4 linked regions of the Arabidopsis thaliana genome follow. The protein of the gene in region 4 interacts with the protein of the main gene of each other region in a pairwise test. Each region holds a gene or a part of one and is shown on either strand. Other genes may lie near its edges. The genes, in order: GB2, AT1G31130, AT5G07340 and ABCG13.

Region 1 (5,342 bases), on a different chromosome or scaffold from region 4:
CATCCAAAGCACACAAATCCATGGGAACAATAAACTTATAAACTTTCCCAGGGTACTTCAGCCTAAAGCAATCTTCAAACTCAACTCTATCAGACCCTAAATTCTTAGGCAAACCCTGCACCATTATAGTAAACACAGCAGTAGAATTCGCGTTCGGGTCACTGATATTCCCATTCCCATCTCTAAACCTAGTAAACTTCAACCTAGCTTCAATAGCAGCGATTCCAAAATGCGAGATAACAACAACAATAACAACAAACACAAAATGCAGCCAAAGCAAAGCTGAACCTTTCTGAATATGCGTAATCATCGTTTTCGAAAGCTCATCACTCAACAAAGCAGTCCCAGCATATAAATTCAACGGAAGCATAACCGAAACAGCTAAAACAGCAATGGAGAAAAGAAGCACAAAGCTTCCACCTTCAATTAAAAGAAACTGAGCAGCATCAGCACCACAGTGACGAGCGATCTCGCGACACGTGGCTTTCCAAACGGCGAGGAGCTTAGAGAAGAGAGCAGAAGGACCAGGCATACGACGGTGGTCGCTGCGTAGCTTAACGAAGAGAAAGATGGAGACGCAGCATAAGAGACCAATGACCGAGATATTAAGCAGATACTGAATGTTGCCGTACCAAGCATCTGGGATTTCAGGTAAGTCGCCGGAAGATGGAGGAGGAGAGAATGAATTATCTATTGTCATTGATGAAATCGGTGGCATCGCAGCTGGTGAAAAATTGCGATTCATCGCGAATTTCTCAACCAAATTGAGAAACCCAAATCTTCGAAGTTTCTTCAGAGATTCAGGATTTATACAACAAGGTTTTGATCAGGAGAAATTTGGGGGCTTTAGGGTTAGACTTTGGGGGAAGTAGATCGACGAAGATGATGGCAAAAGTAGAAAGGTAAATAGAAAAGGAGGAACAAGGAATGCTATCGCGGTTTCGAATCTCTCAAAAGATTCTTCTCCTTAAATCATGAAATTTAATCCCATCTTTTTAAGATAAATACACCCAAAAAAAACGAATTAACACAACTAAAAAATATAAATAATTTGATAGAAGTATATCAAATTGGTAATTTACAGAGTTTTTATGAATAAAACGATAGTTCTTTAAACGATAATTACATATTCTCTAAATATTTCGTGATTAGTAGAATAAGAGAATATAATCAAATTCATAACTCTTGTATATTCATTTTAATCAAATTCTCCTTAAAGCATGAAATTAATCAAATAATTTGAAGGTAAAATACCCAAAAAAATACGAAATAACATAACTAAGATCGGTTTGAGTTTGGGATGAAATAACATCCCCTGTTCTCTAATGGATGGAACTCTGTTTCGAATTTGCTTCTCGAATTTGCCATTGTAGACTATAAGCATTTGTAAGGAACTCATCTCTAATGTAGGATTTGAGTTCTTCTTATCTTCCCACTAGAACATTCATCTTAAACACAGTTATGTAATTTCCATAAGAGATATGAAACAGAGCATACTACCGTGATAATCCGGACACAATTGATATTAGTAGCCTTGTATCAAGGTACGTGTGTATTCCCCATCATATAATAAAAGAAGCTTTTGCTAATGCAAATTTCTGGTAAGTTCACAGTTTTGATGTGCAAGTTCTTTTGTATCATCAATTTAGCGATTATGGACTGCGCCATGCTTCAGATGAATAGAAAAAAGAAACTTATGCTGGTCTCGAAATCCACTAACCAAGCCATTCAACATCAAAGAAAAAAGCCCACATTATAAAAAAATAAAAAAGCCCACTTTAAACTATCAAATGCCCAACAATGGATGATGCACTAGTCGAGTCAGAGTGGACGGAGCCAAAGGCAGAGATGGATTTTAAGCTTTAATTTGTTTCCCAGATATTTTTCATCTGGTCCCTCTGTTTTTAAATAATTAACTAAAACGACTATAATAATTAATAAATTATACTATAGAGTATTTTGTGTGGATTTTTATTTACTGTTGAAACTTAAGGATACAAAAGAAAAACAATTATTCAGATAATTCGTCATTAGATCCCTTTAATTTTAGTAATTAAGTAAAAAGATTATAAAAGATGAGAAGGAGAAGATAGCTTCTTCATCGAGAAACCTCGAAATCAAAAAGCACGTCGGTGACTTGTACTCTTCAATCTCTTCTTCCTCTCTTTCACATCTCCTTCTCTCGAACCCATCGACCTGCGCTAATTCATCATCGACCTTGCTCAAATTCATCAACCATGTCTTACGATTATCTCTTCAAGTACATAATCATCGGAGACACAGGTGAGAGACCGATCTTTCACCTTTCTTAATTCCCAATTGTTTTATTTTTCTGGGTTAAATCCATTTCGTGCCGATTTTCATGTGTTTTCGTTGTTGTTTTTTTTGTCGTTTCAGGTGTGGGAAAATCGTGTCTGCTTCTGCAATTTACTGATAAGAGGTTCCAACCAGTCCACGATCTCACCATTGGTGTTGAGTTCGGTGCTCGGATGGTCACCGTCGATGGACGCCCCATCAAACTCCAAATTTGGGACACCGTACGCTTCCTCTCTCTTCTCTTGGTCGTAATTAGGTCATCAGGGAACTAATCACGTTTTATCGATTAGGATTGTTTTTTTTTTCTCCCTAAGGCAGGATGTGATTAAGAAGATTAATTGTCATAATCAATTCAATTTCTTCGTTTTTATATAAACAATGCCTCATTAGAATTGCCAATACCAAAAATTATGTTTGAAAATCATGTCCAGAGACTCAAAGTGGGGTAAAATTTCAAAAAAGTTAATCATTGCACGGTTCTTGATTAAGTTTCATAGGCTTATTGTAATAGAAGCTGAGTTCACCAGTGCATTCCTTGTTGTGATTTCTTCTGGTCAATAGTTCTTCCATTAGATGATGTATGTGTTGGAGTTGTGCTTTCTGATTAAAGTTTCGTATGATATTTTTTAGGCTGGACAAGAATCTTTTAGATCCATCACCAGATCATACTACAGAGGAGCAGCCGGAGCTTTACTGGTTTATGACATCACCAGGTTAGTTTTTGCCTTGCGACAATATATATCAGCTCGAACTTCTGAATTCCCCAGCAAGGTTTTGGAAGTGATTGGTTCTGTATTTGTGATTTGATAAACCTAGACTGTTGGAAAGGTTTTGGAAATTGGGAAGTTACTTTTATCTGAACAAAATCCTTGGCTATAATATTGGCAATGCTTGTTTGGGAGGATGTTAAGTTAACCATCCATCTTAAATTCTTGCTAAAATAGATATTTTTCCTCCATTGTTTTGGAATTTTGAAAGTTATGAAGGACATGAAGAATTGCAAGAGTTTTATCATTGAGGTTTTTCATGCTTTGATCTTTCTGAAGCTCAAAATTCTTGGTTCTTTGGGTTGCAGGAGAGAGACGTTTAACCATCTGGCAAGCTGGTTGGAGGATGCTCGGCAACATGCAAATCCTAACATGAGTATTATGCTGATTGGGAACAAATGTGATCTTGCTCACAAGAGAGCTGTTAGCAAAGAGGAAGGTCAACAGTTTGCCAAAGAACATGGCCTGCTATTCTTAGAAGCATCTGCAAGAACTGCTCAAAACGTTGAGGAGGTGACATTTCTTCCTTGCAACTCTTTTTCCCCATCCTGTTATTTGGCTGTAATCACATGGAGACTTTTGTCTTCTTTTTCTGGATTCCAACAGGCCTTCATAGAGACTGCTGCCAAGATCCTCCAGAACATTCAGGATGGTGTCTTTGATGTATCCAACGAGGTAATTTCCTTGTTGAATCTGGCAATATACTTAGTCTTCTGGTGTTCTCTAATCCCTCGATTGTGTTACAATGTGATTCAATTCCCTTGGTCTCTCTAAATTTTGCAGTCATCAGGTATCAAGATTGGTTACGGGCGTACTCAAGGTGCAGCTGGAGGAAGAGATGGTACGATCTCTCAGGGAGGTGGCTGTTGTGGTTAAAAAATCCTCGAGAGAGGTGTCACATATCTGCTGTAATCTGGTGATTCAGAAACTACTATTGCTTCTATTTACCTCTGCAAATGGATACACCAGAATGTATAGTTTCTCTTTCTTTCTTTCTTTTTTTCTCTTTTTCCCAGATTGTCTTTTATCAAAAAACCAAACGGGTGCATTTAAGAGTGAACAGGCTGATCTTTATAAACCAAACAGGCGTTGGCTTATTTAAAACGTTGTCGCTTTGTATGAAGCTCTCAAGGTTAAGTAATTGAAATCAAATCAGAATAATATCCAGTCATCATCTAGGTGAAATTTCCTTATTCATCTAAACGAACTGGTTTTAAAATACCCAGATGGTTCACAGAGATCCCAATAAGCAAATAGAAGTAGAAAACGAAGAAGCCATGATACCATCTTTCTTCCTCTTGGTCCCTTTGCTTTAACGCCTATTAGGTAATGTCCCTTCCCTAAGCCGCAAGTTATTGTATGTTCGCGTCACTAACATCAGTCTCGGATCATCCTCTGGTATTTCGCGTTCCTATGATTACCACACCACAAAAACCATCAATAACTAATACCAAGAGAAAGAAAGTTTGTGGTCAAATAAGAAAAAGGTTTTTTATTACTTTCAAGCCCTTGTAGTAAGCTTCAACAGCAGCTAGTGTTGGTAGAATATTCCGAGCTAGCATCAGATCCCATATCATATTTGCAACTGTGTACCCTCCCGTCTGCCATAAAGAAAATGTTTTTTTTTTTTTAACTTTCACTAAGCCAACTCTTTATATCAGTAAGATATTTCCAAAGTTTTTAGGGGAAGTTCAAGATTTTTACCTTTTCACCAGCGGCTTTGAGTAACAGATTGCTTCCAGTTCTTGGGTCTAAGAAGAAATTGCGTTCGTTCATTTGGATCTGCATTTACAAACAAATTGTCATCAGGCTCTACTATTGGCCCGTGTTTTGTTTACTTCATAGATTCTTTTTTTCAGTACAGCTCGAGCCAATAAGCATTACCAGAGTGTCCTGAGCAATCTTCATTCCATTATCGGTGTATCCTGTCATAGCTCCTTCTATAAGCGTCTGTAAAAATAAAACAAATAAATTGACATCTTCAGCATATACATATCACCCAAAGATATGTTGAACCAAGTATGGGAAACAGGACAGAAGCATAATTCTCTTCGACTAATGCGTTAGTTGAGAATTTAGATTTATTTGTATATACATTTGCGGGGTTTGACAATTGAGAATCAACAACTATAAGACATATATAGTAAAGAAGACGTTCACTCTCAAAGCAAATATAGAAAACACCAGTTATGAGGTCAGATCATTGTGTTACCGTGTATAGTTCCATGGCAGGGATTTTGTCTGCGCTCATGTAATCTT
Region 2 (4,482 bases), 8.0 Mb from region 4:
ATATAGGGTATGTCACAAAATCGATCTTATCCTTGACTATATATTGAGCGTGAATGAGAATTTTCGACGCATAAAAATAAGTCAACAAACTTGACAAAGAAATATAAGAAGTTGCTTGCAGTCCTTAAAAACGTTATTTTGTTCTTGATAAAAATTCGTAAAAGAAGATGTTCTTGTTGGGCCTAGAAACCAGAGTTTAATTGGGTACTTCAGAATTAAAAGGCCCAATCAAATCTCAGTTTATATTTGGTTACATAGAACTATAGAAGTAGAACTCAAAACGATGTACCACCAATACTTGCTTGGGAGTTTAGGCTGACAAAACATTCCATGATTCACCGAAATTTTGTTATCTATGTGGCATGTATATGGTTCATTCATTTATATATTAACAAAAAAAAGGACAATTTTTGTTCCAAAACAAAACAATGCATGATCAGGGTAACAAAACAAAACATTGCATGATTCACATTGACTTATTATTCCAAATTTGTTTCATTGATCATGATTCACGATATTTAGCATTAGTTACTATTTGGGTTAGTGTTGTTGATACATCACCATCTAACTTTAAATTCACATAATACAAAATAAAAATTGATAAAATCAGATTAAAAATGAATGAAGATGTATTTTTGTTTTCTTCTTCTTCTTTGAATTAAGTTTTAAATTTGGTTTCCATTCGGTTTAGTGTAAGTTGTGTAACCAAACCTCCCACTCACGAACAAAAATTCAGATTTATAAACATTACAAAAGTATCCACAATAATTGCTCCTACGACCTTAACTTAGTGTAGGTTAATTCCAAGGTCAAATCCTACAGCTAATTACATATCTAAACAAGCCACTTCCTTCATTTATTATCAATTTAAGCATCTAAAACCCAACATTTTTAACGGATAATAATTATCATCAACATGAGAAGAATAAAACACATCTTTCAACAAGAATAAATTAGTAAACTCAAATCATGTAATAATAATCAAATGAAAACAACAACAAAGAGTGTTGAGTCTAATACATACACATTACATTAAAACTATTGTTCAGATTCCAAATTTCTTCTTCTTCTCCAATATTACAAACTACAAAGAGAGAGAGAGAATGGTAATAAGAGAAGAAAAACAGTACAAGAGAATCATCATCTTGACAAATCTTCAAATATCTAAATCCTCCAACTGAATGTTGCTCTTAAGAGGCACATAATCTCCAAGATACCCACCAAGTTGATCATACAAAGCGGTCTTATCAATAGTCTGATGATGATAACTCTTACAAACATAGTAAAACACACTCTGAACCAACAAACCCACAAGATTAACCATCACAAGAACACCAACTAACAATCCACCAACCAAAGTCCTAGTAAAAGTTCCATACTTCCCACCACCATGAACCACAACAGCACCAAAAACAACTCCAATCAATCCACAGAGGAAAAGATAAACAAAGATTAACCCCATAGCCATCTTAGTCTTCCCTTTAAGCAACTCATAAGCTTTTCTCATAGCGGCGATTCCGTAAACCGGTTCAAGAACAGAGATTACACTACCTAAATGCCATAAAGCAGTGAAATAAACATGAACACCAAAGTATAGAACAGAGATTATAACCCCGGCTACAATAGCTAAACCTAAACTATTCAAATCAAGAGCTACGAGAAGCATCACGAGGAAGACAAAGAAGACTGCGTTATAAGCAAACATCAACAGAGCAACCCAAAGGAAAGTTATAAAGAGTCGTTTAAAGACTTTGGGAATCGCAGAGAGAGTTGACGAGAAAGAAACAGGCTTTCCGGTGTAAAGAGAAGCGACGGTGAAGACAACAGCAGCGGTTGAGAGAAGAGAGAAGGCAAAGAGGAAGATCAAGTAACTGAACTGGAAGATTAGAAGAACAGTCCAATCATGACGTGAACGATCTGAGTTTGGTGGGTCGGATTTGTCGAGTTTGGCTAAGATTGGTTGAGTGAAGAGTGAGTGAGCGAGGATAGCGAAGGAGAGAGGGAAGATGAAGGAGAGGGTTATGAGGTAGAAGGTTCTTGGAGATCGTTTCTTGATTGAGATTGATTCTTGAAGTAGTTGAGGTATTGTCAAGAATTGAAGCTCTTCTGGTTGGAGATCCATGGTTTGTTTCTTTGGAATGAGGTTTGATCGGAGAAGAACAGAGAGGAGAGATTAAGAATCACCGACGGGTCAATTTCGAAATCTGAGAGAGATGAAGTTTTTTTTTTTTTGTTGAGGTGTGTTTTGTTGATATCAAGAAGATGGAGAAAAAATGTTTACGGGTAAAGACTTTTTTTTTCCTTGGAAACTTCTGGGAAACTCATATAACACGTTTTGACTAGTATTGTTATTGTGACCATTTTTTTTTGGGGGGGGGGGGCAACTAATTGTTTATTTTTTGCTTTAATTAATATGATGGAATCGTTATTTTATGGGAAAATATGTAAGTGGTAAAGAGATGGACAAAAAGGAAAAGGAGATTTGGTCAAGTTTTATGAGCACAACTCTCTTTGCATGAGCTGAGACGCAATCATGGAACTAGACTTTCTATAGAGTTTATGAATCTTGTATACTTACAAAGAAATGGTAAGATAGGGTAAATCTAATTTTGATAGAGTTTAATTATGCACCTAATACCTAATATTCACCGTGAAGAATACTCTAGAAGAGTATTCAGATTTTCATATTTGTAATACATATATATGTACTACATTTTTTTAATGTTATTTATTTACATTTTGAAATTAAATAAATAAGTTCAAAGAATAAATATGATTTAATTTGAACGACATATCAGAAATGTTGTAATCTGTTTTTTTTTTTTTTTTGAATATTGTAATCTGAAAAATGAAAGTTTAATGGTTTGATATTTCGGTTGTATGTGTGATTATGTATGTTTTGATTTGTTTTCACGTAATAATGAGGAAATCAGGATCAAAACTTTAAAAAGAGCAAACAGAAAATTAATGATGTTAAAAGTTTATTAATACGAAGAAGAAAAAAAAAAGTTTTATTGATACGACCTTGTTTGAAATAGGATTAATAAATTTTCTGATGAAGTTAATTTATGATAGAAACAAAATCAAAGATTAATGCTTACTTCCACTGAATCTGAGGTGCAGGGAAATCACATGGACCGATGGTCCCAACAGTTAACTGTCCATGTCAACTTAAATACTACTAATTTACATAATTAATAGATGTGAAAATTATCTTTGCAATGAATATTGAACTTGTAACTTTTTGTATGTGTTTAATTTGGAGATCTTATAAGTTTACGTAAGGAAATAGAACTAGCAATCAAATGTTGGTGTATAAGCACTATCCTACACACACGATTTCTTTAATTATACTTTCAATTTCGAATAGAGAAATATAAGAAATGGACAAGACCGGCCGGTCCATGATTATATACTCTCAAGTTTCAACTTTTGTTTTGGTTTTCTAACTTTTATAAAGATATGTAACAAATGTGTTTTTAATCGAATGTGTTTTAATCTTTTTTCTTCTGGCACTAGGTTCTTTCTACACTAGCTACTTTAATCGAATGACTAATGGAATGTAATAAACCAATACTTAAACTAAACACTTGCCTCTTAAAGCCTTATTACAAGAAAAATAATAGACCGTGTATCATCAAAATATTGAAAAATAAATAAATACCCCAACACGTAATTTATAACAGTAAGACTATGAATGGAGGTAGCGGACAAAGCGGTTTAATTTGTCTGCGATTTAGTCCATCTCATTTTTGAGGCGAACAATAAACCGCTGCGGACCAAGTTTATTTGTATGTAAAAACGGTCCGTAGATGATCCGCTGCGGTTTTCTTCTATTTTTTTTGGTCATTGATGAATTGTAAATAAAAATAGTCTGATTCGTTGACGGTTTTGTCCGTCCCAACCGCCATAACCATTCAAACCCTAAATCGAATTCACAAGTCATAACAACTAATTCTCCCTAAATATAAGCATATCCTAACACAAACTAAAGAAATACCTATTATTATTTAATAAATTTAGTAAGAATACCTATTATTATTTAATGAACCATCCAAACCATACTTACAAAAGTAGCAGTCCCTATCTAAATAGAAACTGTTGATCTCAAGGTTTCATTTGCTAAAAAAAAAAAAAAAAAGCAACCACATTTCTTTCTCTATCTCACTCTCTCGTTTAACATTCTCATGAAATTAGGGTTTTAGAAAGATAGATCGATTGAAGATGAGGAAAGGTAAGAGAGTGATAAAAAAGATAGAGGAGAAAATAAAGAGACAAGTGACATTCGCAAAGAGAAAGAAGAGTCTAATCAAGAAGGCATATGAACTCTCTGTTCTCTGCGATGTCCACCTTGGTCTCATCATCTTCTCTCACTCCAACAGGCTCTACGATTTCTGCTCCAACTCTACCAGGTTTATATATAAAATCATGCATATGTGTGTTCTTGTTTTGGTAAAACAAAAAGAAAAGAAAATGAATGCT
Region 3 (5,475 bases), on a different chromosome or scaffold from region 4:
ATAAGGGGAAGTTTGAACCATGCTTACAGTTTTTGTGTGTTTTCTGGTCCAACTTATCTTTCCATTCCTTAAGCCGTCTTATTTATGTTACACTGACATTAGAAAGAACAAAAAAAGAGCAGAGACTAAGCAGGAAGGATATGGTCGTTGGAGCAACTTTGGTCTTATTTTCTGATGAAGTGACTGCATCATCTGCTGGCAGTCAGCCAGCTGGTGAATAGTGCTGAGCTCGTTCTTGCCCGTGGTTTTGGAAATGTGGTTAGACACACAGATTTTGAAGAGCGATCAAACCTTTATGATGCTCTTCTGGCTGCTGAAGCTCGTGCTCTGTCAAAGAATCCATTCTGCAAACAGACCTAACTGTGGTTAGTATATCATACGAGTCTCGTGCCATGGCTATCAAGACCCTTTGGTAGAGAAGTCTAAATCTCGAAGCTAAGATTTTGTTGTAAACACTCGAGCTAAAGACGATAAACTGATAATGCTGATGCATGTGATGTACACAACCCATTACTTATCAAATTTCAACTCATAAATGTTGTGATCCACATTCAGATTCATGTGAAACTAAAAGCATACAAAAAAAACATGTTACAATAATCGTCTTAATATCAGGTCCACTACTGTTTGTCTATACGGTGATAAATCAAAACAAAAAGCCCCAAAAATCAAAATCTAATCCTCTTTTTATCTAACTCTCACGCCTCGTCTGCCTCTTTCGTGGTGCAGCCACCGCTTCTGCTTTCTCCTCTGTCTTTGCCTCGCTTGTCGAGGTCTCTGCAGCTGTTTCCGGTTTCTTCTTTTCTACCTTAGCCTACATACATACCAAGAATTTCGTTAAGACTCAAACACCCGCCAACCAAAACATTACATCTCACTGACATGTTTTTTTTTTACCTTTGCACCACCAAATATGAGCTTGAAGAAGAGAGAGAGGAAGACGATCACGATGGAAATGAGCACACCGATGGTTAAGTTTGGCTGTGTTTCAGCTTTCTCAATAAGTTCCTACAAACGAAAATTGCAAATTCTCATTTAAGATTCTTCATTATACAATATGTTTCTAAAGTCTGAAAATGAGAACTTACCATAATCTTTGACTTGTACGCACTAAGGAAAGAAATGTCTGCAACCTTGTACAAGAGGTCGAACACCTTCTTCTGCAGTAATGCACATACATAATATAAGTACAAAGGATATGTATAAGCATTCCAAATTTGTGGCGAAAATCAATATACCTGGTAACTCTTGAGACCATCTGCCTCACCAGCAGCTTCATCCTCTGCCTTTTGTTTCTCTTTCTCCACATCAAACTTGGGCTTCCAAGTGCTTTGTCTGTAAGTTTCAGCAACCTTCTCGTCTTTAGATATCAAGATGTTGTCAAATAAGATACCGTCTTGCATTGTCCATATCTCAATACCAATGGCAGCAATGGGCTCCAAATTCGGCCTCTCAAGCTCAAAATAATCAGGATTTGGAATGTCTCTTGGTTTCCAGATTCCCTTGTAAGCTGGGTTATCTATGAGAGGTGAGCTCCATTTGCCCTTGTAAGCAGGGTTCCTCTTCATCGGTCTCTTCCATTCGCCACATCCGGGTGCTGCCTCACACTTGGTGTTGGAAACCTTAGGAGCCTCCCACTCACCATCTTCCTCGTCATCCCAATCTTCTGGCTTGCTTGCCTCGGGGTCTTCAACCTCTACAGGCTCATCATCCAACCATCCTTCGGGTTTCTCAGCTTCCTCATCTTCAATCTCCATGGGTGCATCCTCATCCCAGTCATCAGGCTTCACAGCATTAGGATCAGGAATCTTGGCTCTCTCATCCCAGTCTTCTGGCTTCTTGTCCTCTGGATCAGGGATGGTCTTGGAAGGAATCAACGGAGGCTCAAAGTCTTCAGCAGACAGTAAATTACCCTTCTTCTTCTCCTCACCATCGACCAAAATCCTCACCTCATTATCAGATTTCAAGACCGCAGTGTAGACATGAGAAAGCATGTCAAACGGAACAGAAGGAGGGAACTTGAGATGGTGCTCAACAAACTCGCCACTCTTGGGATTCTTATGCTTCAAGATGAAATGAACCTTGTTGGTAGCACCACACTTATCAGGTCCAAACATGATAGAGTAAGGAGAATCATTATCAAACCCTTGAGGAACCCATCCAGCTTCTTGAGGACGAAGATACTTTAAGTAAGCACCACCACACTCAAGCCCTTCTTGGAAACGAGCCTCGTATTGAAGAACAACAGTTCCTTCGTTAAGGTTTAGAGGCTCATCAACATCAAGCTCTTTAACTATTCCGTACTTCTTAGCTTTCTCACTCACTAGAAGTCCATAATCATCATGCCCTTCACTCTTCTCGTGCTTCCACACACCTAAAAGATTTCAAATAAGAAGCAACCTTTTAAGAGCTCACACAAAGTCTGTTTCTTATCCACTTATAGTAAAAGTAAACATTTCTAAATCTGTTCCAATAAAAACCAAAACTTTAAGACCCCCTTTTGATTGTAACTTCCATTACACTAATTCTAACTTGTTTTTACTTCAACAGACGAAAGAAAACCAAAAAATTCAAAACACGAATTCACTACGACGACATGGCTTTACCTTGGTATTCAGCTTTCTCTGAAACGACCCAGCGACCATCAAAAGGCTCGTCAAACGATTCATACAGGATCTGAACAACAACAAAAACACCATGTTACTGGAGATTCGATGAACAAATCTTTAAAATAGGAACTTTTTCAAGGAAGTGACCAATCACCGTTTGGTCGTCACAGTAGCTAACACTGGGAAACGAAAGCAAAGCTACAAGAAGCAGCGAAACGAATGTAATAATCCGTTCTCTCATTATCGCAATCTCAAGAGAAGAGACAAAACAGAGACTCAAAATCAAATAAGACAGAGAAGTAACTACTAAGTAAGTACTAAGTAGATCAGAGAGAGAGATATTCTTTACTCTTTAGTCCTCGTATTTCTTAGACCTACGAACGTCATTTTGATTGTTATCTTCCAATGAATATCGCTCGCCAACGTGACACTACCCTATCACCTCTCGCCAAGTCATCCAAAACAAAGCACCGACGCGTGCAAAATTTTACCCCACTAGGGCCTGGTCCTGGGCCTTGACCTGGGCCCAATTAGAATGCGAATGAATCCTCGGACACTCTTAGAAGGTTAGGAAGTTAACCATTTTATCTCATTCAAACCTAGACCCAAGAAATTGGTTTCTCCCAAATGAGTATTTTTACTAAAATCGTTAATCCAGAAGAAAATAGAAGCAAAACGAAGTTGTATTATTACTTCGACCGAAATTTCATTAGATAATTTACATGCTGTTGAAACAACACAAATACACTCAAAAGTTGCTTGATCACTGTAATACATCCAAGAGGAAACAGGATAAAACCTTAACCGACCCATTTGAAAACTCTTTGATCTCCTTCAGATGTTTTATTTATCGACAGAAACATGGAAAACAAAACACATAAACCAGCCTTCATAAAAACTTAGTGAGCTGCAGCAGCCGATATCTTAGGATCAACGCCAACATCCTTAAGCGTCAAGGCACGAGGTTTATGAGCAAACTGGTCTTTCCTGATTGGGTCAGAGATCACATCCTGCTTGTCAAACTCTTGAACGTGAGCTATTTTCCTAAACCAAGACCTGTTAGCGAACCGGTCCGCTTCGTTTAGAACTCTATCTGGATCTTCGATCTCGGGAACGGTCTCTCTCATCTTCTTGTTGACACGTACGCCAGGGTTTTCATGTAGATGAAGATACGCAGTGTAGACACCAAATGTTACTGACAATGAAATCAATCCTATGGAGACGTAAACTGGTGTGAAGTCACCTTTTGTTGCTGCCGCTGTGGTGGCGGTTCTCTGGCCACCATACTCTGTTGCCGCCGTAGAATACGCTTTGGATCTTGGTACGGTTGTCGCCTTCGTGTAAGTTCTTAACCTCTGCACTACGTTTTTCAAGTGACCCTTCAAACACAAAATGATAAAAGTCAAATCGTGAAGACCAAATGAATCATAGAGAAACGACGACGTCTTAGGTTACTTACGGTTGATCGAACGGCCATTGGTTGTTCTTGGCGAGTGATTAGTAAAATCTAGCTGAAAAGAAGAGTAAGATTTGTACTTTTTGTTGTTGTGGATTGTGCTATACTTGAGAGCGTTTTAGATATCGGATATAAAAGGAAGATGGAGACATCTGGAGTAGAGAAGAGAGTTGTAGAAGTAATACGTGTAAGCATTTAAGAACATGCAGTTTAATTCGTGGAAGTGTCTTGAAGATCCACGTCAAATCAGATTCCTTATAATTGGGATTCACTGCAGTAATGCGCGTGTTTTATTTCATTGGTTCTGTCAAAATTAAAAATATGAGATATTAATTATATTTTAAATTTGTATGCCTAATGGATAAGACCAAAATTTGTGTATCTTCTTTTACTGGTAAGCTCTAGCAACCCTCGTCTTACCACGCGACATGTGACAATCACATTGCTGCTGTGTCGATGGAACCGTGCCTTGCATCGAGTAAATGAACCAATGGCACGAAAATCCATCAAGTACTAAATGAACCTATGTCACGAAAGTATGTTCTTTTGTTTTTAAGACAAAAATGAAGAGATTAAATATGTTTGGTGTCAATTCTAATGAAAATAGTTATATTTTCTCGTCTTCGTGTTATCGTTGTATCGACATTCAAATTTAAATTCATATAAATATTATGTAAAAAAGATGGAGAAATATTAAAACGACATTTTCAACGTAATATTTATTGTAGCCATTAATTCTATAAAGTTTGTCTATATTTAAGAAATATAAAATAATTAATGCATTTTTTATGGAGTTCTTTTTATTTCATAGTGCCTTTATTTAAATAGTGAATTCAGTACTATTCATAATTTTAATAGAAAAGTAAAAGTAAACAAGTTATTTGGGATAAAGACTTAACTAAAGTGCTATTTGGGATAAGACTTAACTAAAGTGGGCAAATCTTTCTCAATGAGGAAATTAAACAAGTTTTAACTACTGATTTAAATACAATAAATTGATACGAGTTGAACTAGTGTGCTTGGTGCTTACTAGCTCCCACTTTAATGGAATTAGTGCTTATTCGACGTAATTATTTGCTCATTTCTATTTTTGTTATAAATAAAGCGGTGTAAAGAGCTTTACAATCCTATATAAAGAAAGAAAGGCCTATACATTAACTATGTAAACAATATATATAATCGTATTCACATTTCATCTCTACTTTACGTTCTTTTCAAACTATGAATATTTTTCTTTGTATCGTGACTTTTACTCACTCACCACAATTTTTTAAAAATGATGTTACGTACTTTTATCATCAAGAATAAACTAAATGGCTTAAAGAAGCATTGGTCTTAACTGATTGATGATCAAAGAGTCTCTAAGTTAACCACGACTGTAAACTAAAACCTAGCTACGTAGGTCATAAC
Region 4 (7,466 bases):
ATATCATGGATTTAATGGTAGACTTGAAACTAATGGTTCTGAGGATATGAAGAGTTAGGCAGAACCAGCAGGCGTATTCTTGACATTTTAACACAGTTTTCCCAAACTAGTTCTTGGTTCAGATTTGGATGAGTTTAGTTGTAACAGTCATAGGGTAGCAAATGAACAACAAATGAGTTCTGTACATGTCTACTCTAAAATAATCAGACTGGTTTTTTCTGATTTTACAACTGGATTAGCCATATTTGTTTAAAGTTATTGATTGTTTGTGTATTTTTTTTCCTTACTATGTAATATTTCTGGGAGCTTATATTTGGGTTCCCAAAGTTGAAAATTTACCATTTTTGCTTGGTTTTACACTTTTAAGGTTTTAAGTATCTCGTTGTTTGTTCTCTATCTGTTCAACAAACGCCTTTGGGAGGTTACTTTTGTTAGTTTTGATTCTATTCCCTATCAACTATATGCTAAAAGAGGAGATTTCATGGCACTTAGTGATAAAAGTCAAATATGCCTGGTCTGTTCTGTTCTTGTGCTGCACAGATTATAGATTTGCGTCACTGGTGCTATCAAGCAAGGACCAGTGTTCTACTGCCAGCCAGGTAACAAATCTCCATACCATCTTCTGTTTATTTGATTTCCATAACACAGTTTCTTCTGAAGCTATGTTAGCAAACGAAGTGCCTTATTTGATATATTTACGGTGGTTCGTTGGTAGACTCTCTCTTAGGGGTTCATGCATGCATCACTTGTAATCTGATAATGTAGCCATGCTTATCTTTTTTCTCCAATATATGTATCTCTGATAGATACCATCCTCATGCTAAACAAATCTCATTAGTCAGAATGATAGTATCTCTCTTTTCTTTTTTTTTTCCTTACACAACGGGCTACAAACAGTTTATCAAGTTTGAAGAGAGTGACATCTGACATATTGAAATATATGGAAATTGCATCCTGCTGTATATGCTTCTAATGCAGTGGAGAGTTAAGTCCTTCCTGAGAAGAGAGAGCATGGTGAACAGGGTATCGCCTGGAAGGGAAAGGTGTCATTCTTCTGAAAGAAGGCCTTTTCTGGATATGGCTCAGAGTTCTCTTTGTGTATAACATGTGAATAACTGGGAAAACCTTTTCCCGGAACTTGAGGATGGCGAAGAAGGCAATCCTATACCCAATGAGAATCATCATCACAACTGCTAGATCCAACCACTTTGAACTTTCTGGATTTATGCCTAGAACAGTTTGAAGAATGAGTTCTCCTTTCATTTTTGGTACCAAGGGTAACGGAGAATCATACTCCACCCCAATCATCTCATTCTTGTATGCTCCCTGCAATTTATCAGGTATGCTCATTTAAGATAGCTACTTGACGATATAGTCTGCATCTTAAAGTTGAGAAAACCTGGTTACCTGTAGTGCCCATGCACCATAGTTTATGTAGGACACCGGGTATCGCCAGAACACCATTGGTAAGTCGGGGAAGAATCGGAAAAACCCCGCACTTAACACCATAATTCCCTATGAGATGAAGGATAAAGCGGTTTTCAATTTAGAATAGTTTTTGGAGATATAAGAAAGCTTGTAGGTGAAAGAGCGACAGAGGCCACTCTTACAATGTAACCAGCTCCCAACATGACTCCCATCAAGAAGTTAGGGACTACTGAAGCTATCATCATCATGCAACTCTCCACAGTTGTAATCGCGCAGATAAGGTCGAGACAGTTGTAGAAGAAATGAGAACCTCCGGATTGGAACCTCACCATGTAGATAGTGATTGAGCTGGTGGAGAGGCACATAAGGATTATGAAAGGTAATGAGGAGAGTAAATTAGACACAGTGTATACTGCAACCCCATAGTGTCCATTGAGCCTTTCGCGAGAAAACACCTGTTTTCAGGAATAAAGATGCTAAAACATAAGATAAGTTTTTAGGTGAAGAAAGAGAATTTTTCTCTGTTTAGCTCTTTACCTTCATTTCTTCAATGAAGGATTGGAATCCTCCTATTGACATGAATGTCATAAAGCCTGCCATAAATCCGCCACAAGCTGCAGTACTCATAACATTTGTGTGGTTTCTCCCGACGTTGAAGAAGATTGACCCGACACAAATGGATAACACTATGTAGACTGCAATCCGCATCCAGTAGTACCCCAAGTCTCTACTCATGTTGATGAAAGATCGCTGAGTAAGTATTCTGAGTTGTTTCCACCAATTAGTTTGGCTCCCCTTTTTCCTTTCTGTGACAATCCCCACCTGTTGCACAAGGTTTATAACTGTGCTTATGAGACTCTCATTATGTGATACATTGTAGTTTTAAGGGAAGTAGTAACCGTAACTTACTATCGATGCTATTTCTTGAATTCTTGCTCTTGAAGCTGCTGCATAAAGTGAACACTTAAATTTTCTGACAAGTGTTGTTCTAATTTCTGCAGTTGGTATATCATCCAGAGGATCTAATGTGTTTGTAGTTTCATGTAGTTGGTGAAGAGAGAAAGATGAATCCTGCAGATGTAAAAGGTCGAGGTCAAAAGCTTGAGAGTATTGTAAGTTCATGAAAAAACAAGAAGGGCAGAGGAAAACAAACGTTGATTCTCCGAGATTCAACCAAAGCCGCTGTGACATTATCGAAATCGGAATTGACACAGCGAAGGAAGTGGTCTGATGGATTCCGTCTACTTGGACAAGGAAAACCTGCTTCACCAAAGAACTGCAATGTCGAAGCAACAACAACACAAATGAGCATAATGGTTATATACTCTTGCCAATGCTCTATCTTATTACCTTTGTTGCAGATTCTGCTTCGCCAAAGTAAACAGTTTCTCCTCCAGACAGAAGTAGCAGGTCATCAAAGAGGGCGAAAACCTCACCACTCGGCTGATGGATCGAAGAAACCACAGTTTTGCCACTGCTTGCTATGTTTCTAAGAATCTGAACCACGAAGAAAGCTGAAGCACTGTCCAGTCCACTAGTTGGTTCGTCTAGAAAGAGGAGACTTGGTTTTGTTAAGACCTCGAGGGCAATACTAAGCCGTTTCTTCTCTCCTCCGCTTATTCCACGCAAATGCCAGTTTCCAATGGTCCTGTCTGAACATTCTTCAAGACCCATGTCAGTGATTGTAGCTTCCACAATGTCACTGATCTCTTCTCTGGTAAGCTTTGAAGGGAGCCTGAGATGAGCCGAGTAAGATATGGATTCTCTCACTGTCAAAGTTCCTAGCAACACATCTTCTTGCGTCACATAAGCCTGAGAGTTTAGGACATTCATGAATAATAATAGTTTGATTGTGTAAAAGGGTAAAAACTAAAGAGAAAAGATAAATTTTCTTACGGCAGCACCAAAGTCAAGTCTTCTCTTCTTGCCATTGACAAGTACTTTGCCACTCATTACAACATTCCCTGCTAATCTTCCTGTACCATCACCAAATTTACCTTTTAATGTTAGATGTTAAATCTTTCATGTTTTTGAACAATCTTATAGCATTGATAGAACAATCTTATAACCCGGTTTTGGGTTTTTCGCTTTTACAAGAATATTAGCCACAGTAAAATTAAATTGGTTTCGATTAGTCATAAGCATAAAATAAAGATCTTCTTAATCCAATCAAATTTAGGTTTGGTCAAGAAAATAATAATCGATTTGGATTGTTTTTGGATTGAACGTAACATCCCTCAAAGAGTCCGACCAGTCACCAAACCGGGTTCAACTTGTGAAGAGATCGCAAGTCGGTATGAAGATACGATCGTGCAATCCTAAATATTTGTGTCAGAATATTGGTGATTGGTAGTTGGTTAACATTTAAAATATGATTTAATAAGAAATGTTACTGCAAAATTTCTGTACATAGTCTACGTTAGAGAAACGTAACTATCAATTTATTCAATACTAAATGTACGACGATGTAAATTTATTAATTAAGAACATGAAAATTGCAACTATTTTTTTTTTAATATTTATTTAGTACTCCGATAGTATATAGCTATACTTAAAAAATAAAATTGGTAGCTAGAATCCATAAATATAAAGTTAGAAATATCTATATATGTCTCATCGTGTACATGAAACTTAGATATAAATATAGCACTGTTTTTCAATAGTTATAAATATCTTGATACATAAATATGTTATATCATGCTCTCAAATTTCTTTTACATATATATATGTTACGTTTGGTCAAAGTTACAGAAGAAAAAAAAAAAAAATTACAGAAGAGTACAAAAACTTCAGTTAATATTTTCATTTCACCAAATTGTGATACTGATACAGTATGTACATAGTTTGTTGCTTTCAAATAGGAAAGTTATCAATTTTATTGTAGTAATGTATTTTTCCAATATACAAAAAACTAATCAAGTATCATATTAGTTAATTTTGATTACATACGAATTTACAGGTTAATAATAATTAAATATTTTATGTTGAATAGGACACACACCCACCCACGCACAGACATACACCTATATATATATATATATATATATATCTAACAAATAAATTCTAACTTATATTCTCAAATTTAACTACGAATGGCAGAAATCCTTATCAATTCCAAATAAAAATTACTAAAAGATTTGTGAATATTTTTTAATGTAAGAAAACAGAAATTTCTTATTTTCCAAAAGTGAAACACTTTTTACATAGTATATTGAGAAAGTTTCCTTGGACAATTTTTTAAAAGAAAGACATAACGTCATGTATATTGTTAATTATAGTTATATATATATATATATAGAGTACATAGAACGATTCACTAAATACTAGGTTCAAAGTGGGTAAGTCTCATCCTTTAATGTTGGTTTCAAAGCTAAATGTGGTTGGTTGTTAAATTCCTCTAAAAACTATATCTTTTAATTGTTGGTCGATGTTGCTTCAGCTTATTTGAGATTTATATAATAGAGGAAAACCATTTAACAATAAAAGAAATACATAATAAAAACGACGAGCTAATCTTGACATGTATGGGTGTGTGTGTCTGAGAGAGAGAGAAGGGACCTGCTAAAGCATCAAGAAGCGTAGATTTGCCTGAACCTGAAGGACCCATAATAGCTAAGATCCTATTTGGCTCACCACAACCATTCACTCCATTCAGTAATCTCTTAGTTGCTCCTTCACCGAAGTTTGGTATCACCACCGTAAGATCCTCCCACGCCACATACATCGCCCCCTCCGGCGTAGTCATGTATGCTTTTGTTAGATAGATCGAAAACTGAGCGAAGAGTTTTAAACTTGTTCTAGCTTAAGAGTTTTTTTTTTTGTTTCTTTGGGAGAGAAAAGTGTAATGTGTGTGAATGCTTGTGGCCTTATTTATAGTTATAAAAAGTTGTGCGGTGAATGTATTAAGAGAACTAGGGTCTTTGAAAAAAAAAATGTATAAATTAGGGTGGTCCAAATTGGTTTAAACTAATTTGAGTCAAACCGAAACTGTACCAAAGAAAGTGATTGGAAAAAACTAGATGTAATAAATTCGGTTACATATTTTTGATATATAAAATAAATCATGACTAAAAATAAATAAAACATATAGTTTAGTTAAAATAAAATAAAAAAAATTTAGAATCCGAAGAAAAATCGAACCAAACTAAATGATATTGGTTTCTATTTATTTTATGAAACCAAAACAAAATATCTACCCATGCAAAACAGAAAAGTGGATTAAGAATAGTGTAAAAGACAGAAAGGAAACTATTATATATGTACACTATCATGCATGCATAGACGAGGCATGTGACAGAAAAATTGACGTTTGATGTTATATTCATTTACTCGTTGGACCCGTTCGGTACTATATATGTCGAGAGCTACAGACATCCGCATGATAAGAAACTTATGGTTTCGTTACACGATTTAAGGAAACATAACACTTTAGGGTATATATCACGTAAATTGCAATAATTTTATTTTCTGGTAATTTTGTCCAAATTTTTTATAAAATTCCGATTTGGTTGGGTGTATCAACTAGTATAGCACTCCAAAACATTGTTTTTTTTCAAACGAATCACAGAGGAAATTCAAATCCATGAGGAGAGTCTATACTATTCAACTCAACTATATTTAGACGCCATTACTTTTGGAAAATTATTTGAATTATTTATATACATTGTGAACGTGATATATATAACTTAACATCGACATAAGGCCGTATATCAGAACGTTTAGATTAAAGTAATCTAGTTGTTGCATATTGAGTTTATGTAACTGGTAAGAAAGTAATCAAGAGAGTATATAAGGAATTTTAAGTATGTTGTGTAAACATATGATTGGATCAATTATTTTATCATAATGGCCGAAAATTAACCACGGAAAAGGTTATCATTAATATTTTAATTATTTTTATAAAGCAATTAATTTTGGTCGTATGTTAAATTTCTTATTGAGATATACTATTTAGTTTCTGCCTCTGGAAAGAAACCGTCCAATGTTCCTTGCTGCTTCAATGTGGTTCGTGTTGGTAATTTTTGAGGCAAAAGACGGATTCTCAACGTCATAAGATTTTTTTTATAGTGACTATTTTTAATCTCCCCCAAATTGTTTGCAGAAGTGTATTCGACACATCATGAGCTTGCTTGTTGCATTTTGCTATTTAACTTTTGTTTTCGAGTTTTTATTTATGGCCCCCTATCATCTATTTTTATTGTTTATCAAACCTATCGTTCTATTTATATTGTAAGTTTATATATTTTTTTTAAGATTATAATACCGAACCATGAATTTGAAGAGCTTGCAAATTTATTCTCTTTCGGATATGACGAATGGAAAACAAGTATGTTGTAAAAAAAAAAAAAAAAACAGATGGTGACGGATTTGTTTTAACCATGTGATGTTTTTAACCATGTTTCGTGCTAATCAAACACATACACAGTACCAAATACACTGTTTCAACGTTTATGTCTTCTTGTCTTCAATTGTATCAACAGAAATTAAAGCTATGTAGTTAGTGTGACTAAATTATTCATTTCTGCTAAGAAAGAAAATTCATTACTGCGATAACCTAATCATAGATTGTTAGATAAACTTATTAAATGACTTCTTCCATCTTTTCCATATCATAACTATAATCAATTTTTTGTTTAACCAAAAAAAAAACAACTATAATTATTTTCTTGTGGTCCATAAATGCTAGAAATATCCTAATAAAATATATGTGCAATAGAATTTTACATATAATTAGCTTTTAATTTGGGTGGGTTTGACCATAAAATTCTGCAGTCCATAGAAAAAAGTAGTCTGTGTTACTGTTAATTATTAATTAAGGGGTTCTCGATCTAAGGACATTTATATATCCGTTAATAACATTTCCAAAGCCCTAATTATGGGAAGCCATGTTCTTATTTTCTTTTTGAAGCAGTACTGTTTATTTGTCAATTTACAGCCTACATTACAAAAATATGGAAATTTCATTGCTTAATAGACTGTTTTGAGTTTTTGTTGAAAACAAAAAAAGGACTGTTTTGAGTCTTATAATTAAGAGAGTG

Evidence for each region.
Region 1: the proteins of ABCG13 (region 4) and GB2 interact in a protein complementation assay, tested with the Arabidopsis thaliana proteins (one large-scale study listed by BioGRID).
Region 2: the proteins of ABCG13 (region 4) and AT1G31130 interact in a protein complementation assay, tested with the Arabidopsis thaliana proteins (one large-scale study listed by BioGRID).
Region 3: the proteins of ABCG13 (region 4) and AT5G07340 interact in a protein complementation assay, tested with the Arabidopsis thaliana proteins (one large-scale study listed by BioGRID).

Annotation. Positions count from the first base shown.
Region 1 is NC_003075.7:16,985,735-16,991,076, reverse strand, and holds GB2 (GTP-binding 2), read left to right. Parts: upstream 1-2,029; 5' UTR 2,030-2,237; coding exon 2,238-2,283; exon of another isoform or gene 2,284-2,397; coding exon 2,398-2,537; intron 2,538-2,946; coding exon 2,947-3,029; intron 3,030-3,391; coding exon 3,392-3,596; intron 3,597-3,689; coding exon 3,690-3,758; intron 3,759-3,866; coding exon 3,867-3,959; 3' UTR 3,960-4,237; downstream 4,238-5,342. Other genes in the region: AT4G35870 (early-responsive to dehydration stress protein (ERD4)), read right to left, coding at 1-745; AT4G35850 (Pentatricopeptide repeat (PPR) superfamily protein), read right to left, coding at 4,396-4,494, 4,583-4,684, 4,788-4,865, 4,968-5,033, 5,296-5,342. UniProt on the Arabidopsis thaliana protein: Intracellular vesicle trafficking and protein transport.
Region 2 is NC_003070.9:11,113,807-11,118,288, forward strand, and holds AT1G31130 (polyadenylate-binding protein 1-B-binding protein), read right to left. Parts: upstream 2,390-4,482; 5' UTR 2,123-2,389; coding exon 1,157-2,122; 3' UTR 887-1,156; downstream 1-886. Other genes in the region: GOA (GORDITA), read left to right, coding at 4,225-4,412.
Region 3 is NC_003076.8:2,314,675-2,320,149, reverse strand, and holds AT5G07340 (Calreticulin family protein), read right to left. Parts: upstream 2,938-5,475; 5' UTR 2,851-2,937; coding exon 2,740-2,850; intron 2,677-2,739; coding exon 2,607-2,676; intron 2,375-2,606; coding exon 1,239-2,374; intron 1,161-1,238; coding exon 1,089-1,160; intron 1,009-1,088; coding exon 898-1,008; intron 815-897; coding exon 692-814; 3' UTR 501-691; downstream 1-500. Other genes in the region: Tudor1 (TUDOR-SN protein 1), read left to right, coding at 1-28, 107-129; AT5G07330 (NFU1 iron-sulfur cluster protein), read right to left, coding at 3,509-3,988, 4,069-4,086. UniProt on the Arabidopsis thaliana protein: Calcium-binding protein that interacts with newly synthesized monoglucosylated glycoproteins in the endoplasmic reticulum. It may act in assisting protein assembly and/or in the retention within the ER of unassembled protein subunits.
Region 4 is NC_003070.9:19,076,163-19,083,628, forward strand, and holds ABCG13 (ABC-2 type transporter family protein), read right to left. Parts: upstream 5,290-7,466; 5' UTR 5,174-5,289; coding exon 4,987-5,173; intron 3,405-4,986; coding exon 3,325-3,404; intron 3,241-3,324; coding exon 2,779-3,240; intron 2,705-2,778; coding exon 2,582-2,704; intron 2,500-2,581; coding exon 2,338-2,499; intron 2,251-2,337; coding exon 1,966-2,250; intron 1,884-1,965; coding exon 1,611-1,883; intron 1,516-1,610; coding exon 1,408-1,515; intron 1,327-1,407; coding exon 970-1,326; 3' UTR 676-969; downstream 1-675. Other genes in the region: TRO (TRAUCO), read left to right, coding at 1-58.